Saccharomyces cerevisiae S288C: one gene and its partner. The gene in region 2 interacts genetically with the main gene of each other region. Each region holds a gene or a part of one and is shown on either strand. Other genes may lie near its edges.

What was found. Genes that interact genetically often act in the same process or in processes that back each other up.
Region 1: mutations in PDS5 (region 2) and RIO1 together harm fitness more than expected from each alone (negative genetic interaction), as found in Saccharomyces cerevisiae (2 studies listed by BioGRID).

What each region holds. Positions count from the first base shown.
Region 1 is NC_001147.6:548,165-551,923, reverse strand, and holds RIO1 (protein kinase RIO1), read left to right. Parts: upstream 1-1,677; coding exon 1,678-3,132; downstream 3,133-3,759. Other genes in the region: glycerol 2-dehydrogenase (NADP(+)) GCY1, read right to left, coding at 1-810; RTC5 (Rtc5p), read right to left, coding at 3,364-3,759. UniProt on the Saccharomyces cerevisiae protein: Required for the final endonucleolytic cleavage at site D converting 20S pre-rRNA into the mature 18S rRNA. Required for the final steps of cytoplasmic maturation of the 40S ribosomal subunit.
Region 2 is NC_001145.3:418,110-421,868, forward strand, and holds the start of PDS5 (sister chromatid cohesion factor PDS5), read right to left. Parts: upstream 1,921-3,759; coding exon 1-1,920. Other genes in the region: ESCRT-III subunit protein VPS20, read right to left, coding at 3,375-3,759. UniProt on the Saccharomyces cerevisiae protein: Essential for the establishment and maintenance of sister chromatid cohesion at centromere proximal and distal regions during S phase. Also required for chromosomal condensation.

The sequences.
Region 1 (3,759 bases), on a different chromosome or scaffold from region 2:
TCGATCGGGATTCACAGATTTTGGCAAGACAACATAACCTCTTTGGACGTGCCAGCTAATAACAACGTGTCCGGGTTGAACGTTATTTTTCTTCGCAATTTCAAGGATAACCGGTTCCTTCAATAGTGGAGCATCGGTACTACCTAACGGAGAATAAGCTTCAACCACAATGCCTTTACTTTTACAAAAATTAATCAATTCGTCTTGAGGTAGTAATGGATGTATTTCGACTTGGTTAGCAGCTGGCGTAAGCTTATTACCTTGAGATGCTAATAGATCTTTCAGGTTATTTATAGAAAAGTTGGAGACTCCAACGGCCTTAGTTTTACCAGTCTTTGGTAGTTCCTGCATTAATTCCCAGGTTTTGATGAAATTCCAATTGGTGATATCCACTGCACGAGAACCATCCTTCTTTGTTGGCACACTCAAGATGTCTTCATTTTTGATGTAGGCTGGATCTAATCTGGCAGGCCAATGCATCAAATATAAGTCTACGTAGTCCAATCCTAACCTCTTTAGTGATTGATCCAGCGCTACTTCAGGTTCGTGGTGTTGTGTACACCATAACTTTGTAGTAACAAAGATTTCTTCCCGAGGAACACCTGAATCCTTGATGGCTTGACCGACTTGGTCTTCATTACGGTAAATAGCAGCAGTATCAATGTGTCGGTAGCCATCTTTCAAAGCGGTTAAAACAGCCTTATAAGCATCGTTCTCTTTCGACTGCCACGTACCTAAACCTATTTGAGGGATTTGGGCTCCAGTATTTAGAGAAAGGATTTTCGTAGAATCATGTAAAGTAGCAGGCATTTTTCTATCTTAATTTAGTAATGAGAGCTGTCCAAATTTTAGCTTGCTAAGATGCACCTATTAAGCTCTCATCCTGAATCAAGTCATTAGAATGTCTTGATTCTCCCGGTTTTATACGCCCAGTAAAGCAATTCTTTACTGCCGTAGTCTTTTCCTGAAAGCTCGGTTTCTACTCTAGGGAATTAAGGAGAGCAGCGGTGTGCGATTCGTCACACGGGTGAATGCCTGATAGGCATATTATTAAGCCGTGTTTGCAATCTGCGTGCTAGATTGATTCTACCCCTTTCTGAGAAGGCGAAATGACCTTGCTATGACAATGAGGGAGAAAAGACCGCCCTTCCTTGTTCTTCCCCGGAATAGTCTGCCCCGATTGTTCGCCGGTGTTATAACTTACAATTCTTATACACTCCATAGGAAGTTTGTTGACAAGAGTTAAGTTTCAAATATCTAAAGCCAGGAAGTATGATCACCCAAGCATATCCATTGCAATATGTAAGACATTCAAGCGGATTTCTGGGACTTTAGAAAGTGAAATTTAAAAAAAAAAAAATTTAACAGAGGTCATACTTCCAAAAAAAAAAAAATGTAGAACTGGGCGAAATATCATCAGCTCATTCACTCTAATGCGGCCCTTCTGTAACCTCGAGCAAAGAGCCCAAATAACTTCATCTCTTCTCTCTTACGAACTGAAATATTCTCATGTTACCTATTGAGTAGTTGCGGGGACATTGGCGCGCGCAGAAAGAGTGAAAAATTTTATAGTGGAATATAGAAATTGAGATGAGATGAGATACTAAGACTAAAAATAATAGTAAAAAGAAGTTAAAACAGATTTAGAGATTCAAACTCCGTTATTTTTAGAAGGTCATGTCCTTGGAAGATAAATTTGATTCATTGTCTGTGTCGCAAGGTGCCTCGGACCATATTAATAATCAGCTCTTAGAGAAGTATAGTCACAAAATAAAAACTGATGAATTATCATTCAGCAGAGCGAAAACATCAAAGGATAAAGCAAATAGGGCGACTGTGGAAAATGTCTTAGATCCGAGAACTATGAGATTTTTGAAGTCTATGGTCACCAGAGGTGTGATTGCAGATTTGAACGGTTGCTTAAGTACTGGGAAAGAAGCTAATGTTTACCACGCTTTTGCAGGTACCGGTAAGGCACCCGTAATAGATGAGGAAACAGGCCAGTATGAAGTTTTAGAGACAGACGGATCCCGTGCAGAATATGCCATTAAGATTTATAAGACCTCTATCCTAGTCTTCAAAGATCGTGAAAGATATGTTGATGGTGAATTTAGATTTAGAAATTCCAGATCTCAACATAATCCAAGGAAAATGATTAAAATTTGGGCTGAAAAGGAATTTAGGAACCTGAAAAGAATTTATCAAAGTGGCGTCATTCCAGCTCCTAAGCCAATAGAAGTTAAGAACAACGTCTTAGTTATGGAATTTTTAAGCCGAGGTAATGGATTTGCCTCACCTAAATTAAAAGATTATCCGTACAAGAATCGTGATGAAATTTTCCATTATTATCACACAATGGTGGCATATATGAGATTGCTGTACCAAGTTTGTCGCCTGGTTCATGCCGATTTGTCAGAGTATAACACCATAGTTCATGATGATAAACTATATATGATCGATGTTTCCCAAAGTGTGGAACCTGAACATCCAATGAGTTTAGATTTTTTAAGGATGGATATCAAAAACGTTAACCTTTATTTCGAGAAGATGGGTATAAGTATTTTCCCTGAAAGGGTTATTTTTCAATTTGTCATATCAGAAACTTTGGAGAAATTTAAAGGTGATTATAACAATATTAGCGCCTTGGTTGCATACATTGCTAGTAATCTACCAATAAAATCTACAGAACAAGATGAGGCAGAAGATGAAATATTCAGATCGCTGCATTTAGTTAGATCATTGGGTGGATTAGAGGAAAGAGATTTTGATAGGTATACTGATGGTAAGTTTGACTTACTGAAAAGCTTGATTGCCCATGATAATGAACGCAATTTTGCTGCTTCTGAGCAATTTGAATTTGATAACGCTGACCACGAATGTAGTTCTGGCACAGAGGAATTCTCAGATGATGAAGAAGACGGCTCAAGCGGATCTGAAGAAGATGACGAGGAGGAGGGCGAGTACTATGACGATGATGAACCAAAAGTTTTAAAGGGGAAGAAACATGAGGACAAGGATTTAAAAAAATTGCGCAAGCAGGAAGCTAAAGATGCAAAAAGAGAAAAAAGGAAAACAAAAGTCAAGAAGCACATCAAGAAAAAATTGGTGAAAAAAACGAAATCAAAGAAATAATGCGGCCCTGTGAAAATACATTTGGGAATCGTTGTTTGGAGTCGAAGAACAGAAAGTAGGTCAGCAATTTAACGAAGAAAGTTCAAGACTAAAAGTGTAATATCAGTATCAAAAGTTTGGTACTTTTCATACAAGTGCAATAAATATTAAAATAAACAATAGCCTTATTTAGTGGTCTTGATTTTTAGTGAAATCAATCCCAATAACTAAAAACAGCAAAAAAGGCAGGCATCACATTGAACCGCCACCTTGATGTTGGCCAACTAAACCTGCCATTTCCAGTAAGGCACGGTCTTCTCCCAAGCTTCTCAGGTTAATTTGCTGTCTTCTTTTAGATTCTGCTTCTTCCCATTCCAACTGTTTGATTTGCTCTTCTAGTTCTTTCTCACCACCACAGCCCCATACCTCAACATCTTGAATCAAAAAATGCAATTCATAAGGGGAATTTTCCTCCTTTCTTTCCATCGACAATAAACCAGGGTCTAATGAACCTCCGTAACCAGTATTTCTAAACACAGCAAATTCTAATGTGCTGTCAAAAGTAAGCGACACGTTCCCTGGTATGTATCTCTTGGATGCTGGTTTTATTAATGGTTGTTTATCCCCGATTCCAATTCCGCCACCAAT
Region 2 (3,759 bases):
GGCTCTAAAAAGCAAAATTTGTATTACCTTGGCGATATCACGTGGCATAATGGAAGCACCAGTAGATATATTATATTTTTTAAATAGTCCTGGCGTTTGTAACTTACTGACCAATTCATTGTAACAATTTTTAAAAGTAAGAAACGGAATATCGTTGGTGACACAGGCATTTAATAAATAAAAGATTCTTTCGTCGTTAAATTGTTTTATTGTTTCGAGGGCGTCGATTGCTTTCGTAGAGTCAGAAAGGCCAGAAGCTAACCACTGGAGAGTTTGGTTGTACTTGTTCATTACAATAGGACCTTGAGACGAGCTCATACTTTCTTGATTGTTCAAAAATTTACTAAAATCAATATATTTGGATATAGCGAAGGATATTTTGATTTGTCTTGCATTGAAAGCGAAAAATGAAGTGAATGCCTTCTTATCAAAATGTGACAAAACCGTTAGCAGTCTGTGGACTCTTTTATCGTTATCTGGTTCAAACGGTAGTAGGTATTCGAAAATTACGCTGTCGACTTGTTCATTGATGTTTAAATCATTGATATAATAGAGATTGTATAAAGTGGATGGTATGGTGTCTATGATTTCCCAAATTTCTTTATTTTGGTATGTCCTTTCGATCTCATTCAATGAATTTGAGTAAAACTTGGCCATAGTGTTAATGCAGAGTTCCCTAACCTCCTTATGTTTTTCTCGGGCCAAATGAAGTAAAGATGTATAAATGGCTTTATTGGTTATATTTTTCCAAATTTCAGTAACGGGAACTTTATTAAAAATCATAACAGAAGTCCTGCGTACACGAGGATCAGAATCAATAAAGGTTTTTGCCAGTGCCTGATTCAGTTCTTTGGATATGTCTTCTCTCGTGGCAATGATTTGAGGAATTGATTCTGTCCATTCTACTCTAACATCGGGACTAATATCAGCAATTTTGGAAATCCATGCCTTGAACGTATCGGAATGTGTAGAAACAAAATTTAAATCCGAATATGAGGTAAGTATTTGACCAATTAATTTTGTAGCTTCTTTTCTGAAAAGCTCGTTTTCCGAAGATAATTCGTGGTATATAAATCCGATTACTGCATTGATCAGTTCGGGTACTGTTTCCCAAAGTCTCAATACCAGTTTATGTAATTTCACTACCACAGTGAGAAGTCTTGAATTATTGTCATCATTAGTTGCTTCATGAATAATCTCGGAATAGTATTTAGTTAGATGTCTACTCATTCTATTGGAATAAGTATCACACAAAATTAGACTAACTTCGTAGCCACAGTCAGAAGTAACGTTCAAACCTTCAGGAATTTCATTCGGGTTATAGGTCAAAAACTTATTAAAAATTAATCTTAGTACTTCTAGGGGAACAGAATCGAACTCAGAGATGACTTCACCGAGAATACCGCCTATTACATTGAAGAGCCTTGCGGGGAAGCTCTTGTTAGGATCGTAAAAAATATGGAATAGTTCGATAAGTAAATTGTTTGAACTAGGTAAATCGGCTAATAATACGATTGATCTGTATTCTAGTAGCTTAGTGATCAAATAAGTTTGTTGGATGTGATAGCCGTTTTCTTGGTCACCTAATTGTTCAAATTGTGAGAGCACCAGCTTGAAAATGTCCGTTAGTTGAGCATCCGTATAAGGCGCATCTGGAGCATATAATCTCAGGATATCGCTTAGACAACAAGCGGTGAAAGCGCGGATCCCCACGTCTTTATGTTTTAATAATTTTCTGCTAACTAGTGCGTCCCTATATTTATCTAATCCCGTTAAATCTGTATTGTCTTGATCCAGAGAGGCTAATTCCTCATGTAAAGCTTTTAAACGATCTAATAGTTCATTTGTTGATATCAGCTGATCGGAGGTAGATATTATAGGTGAGTTAAACTTCAGTTTAGTAACAGCACCTTTAGCCATTTTGTTCGCACTTTATTTCTTGCTTCTTTACAAATATACCTGTAAAAATTGAGACCGGATACAAACTAACAAGGTGGATAAACTTCTTTTAGGTCTTTTTACAATTAACAACAATTTCGATGGAGCCTAGGTTTATAAACTTTCACTTGTTTATACAACTTTACGCGTCGCGTCGCGACATGTCTATAGATTAAGTCACTTTTAACGCCATCATTCCGGGTAGTGCATATTTTCCCTTGGCGGCTAAATAGATGAAAAGGTAAAAGTTTAATCTGAGAAAAAAACTGCATTGAGGAGTCTGAAAACTGAGGATAAAACAAACAGTCGCAGTTGAGTTGTTCTTTTTCATGGAAATTCTTACTATGTACTGCATTTAGGAGGGGAGTTCATCACACTATTATAAATTAAAATATACATCCTGCTTCTTACTAAATTATGTTTTTAACTATTCTTACTGCCGCAATTCCAAGAGGGTAGAGGGTAACTTCAGAGTCTTTACCTAAAAGGTGGGACGCCAGACGGGCGTTAAAAAACTTTCCGTAACGGCTGAGATAAAAATGATTTCGCCCAGGATCGAACTGGGGACGTTCTGCGTGTTAAGCAGATGCCATAACCGACTAGACCACGAAACCTGTTATTTGTGATGGTCTGGACCTATACTTATGGTTTTATGGACTAAACATTTTATGTAATCTTTTATAGAAGAACATTTCTTTTTTCAGGTCAACCGTACAGGAAACTTTCCTCTAATAATAGGATCTTTTTTAATGTAGCTCTCAATATATGGCCTAAATATCATGTCCTATTCTTTTTTTGAAATATCTCCGACATTTAACAAAATAGTATTATTTCATGGCATGACCATTGAAAATTGTGCAAGAACTTTAATTTAGGAAAGTTCATTGATTCAGGATAAATATATAAAGAAAAAGCCACTATCCCCAGAAATTTTGCTGTTGATGAAGGCTACGATGCTGTGAATTCAGATTATAGGAGAAATTCACCTCGAGGACTTGAAATCCACATTAAGGAATCGATATTTTTACACGATAATATTATAACTTTTTCCTCTATTTTGTTTTTCTTTTAATATATTGTCATTCATCATTTTATTTCAAGCAAAATTTAAAGGTTAACATAAATTAATAGTTGCCATAATTGGGACAGAAACTTCCATTACATCTCTAGACTTTTCTCAATCTTTATATCATCTTTTTATGTCGTATATGATAATCTTCTAGTAGTATGGAACAAGTCAAGAGATGATAGCTGATGCTTCATTTTAACAATAAAAATTCTAACGACTATTTATCACGTCTTGGCTTAGCTATAAAAGTACTATATAAACTTAGTATTTATTTTTGAAAATACTAAACAAATTCTATCAACGAAAAACCTGGAAGGAACCTATTTACATTCCCTTTATTTTTAATTTTGAAGCTACATACAGACATTCAGGATAGTAATGCTAAAGGTTCCTTAGTGTCTGATCTCTCCTCCGTCGCGAATTCCTCTCTTTCTTTTTGCTCGGTTTGTTCTCCTTGAGGCAATGATGGCAAACCTTCTGTTGATGGCATGTTAGCTACTTTTGCGTTATTCATCTTCTCTGGATTGAGTTCACTTTCTAGAGCATCCAATTCCTTATCTAGATCGTCTTCATAATTGCTTGTTCCGACTAAGCTTCTAGATAATGTCTCGTTAATTTCATTTTGATACGCAATTTGATCTTGTACATCGTCCATCAGTTCATCAACATTGCTAAATTCCTTGTTTAGTTTTTTCAAGATTTCATTTCCATTTTTCAGTCCATTAATAAATTGCTTTTCTACCATTTTGAAC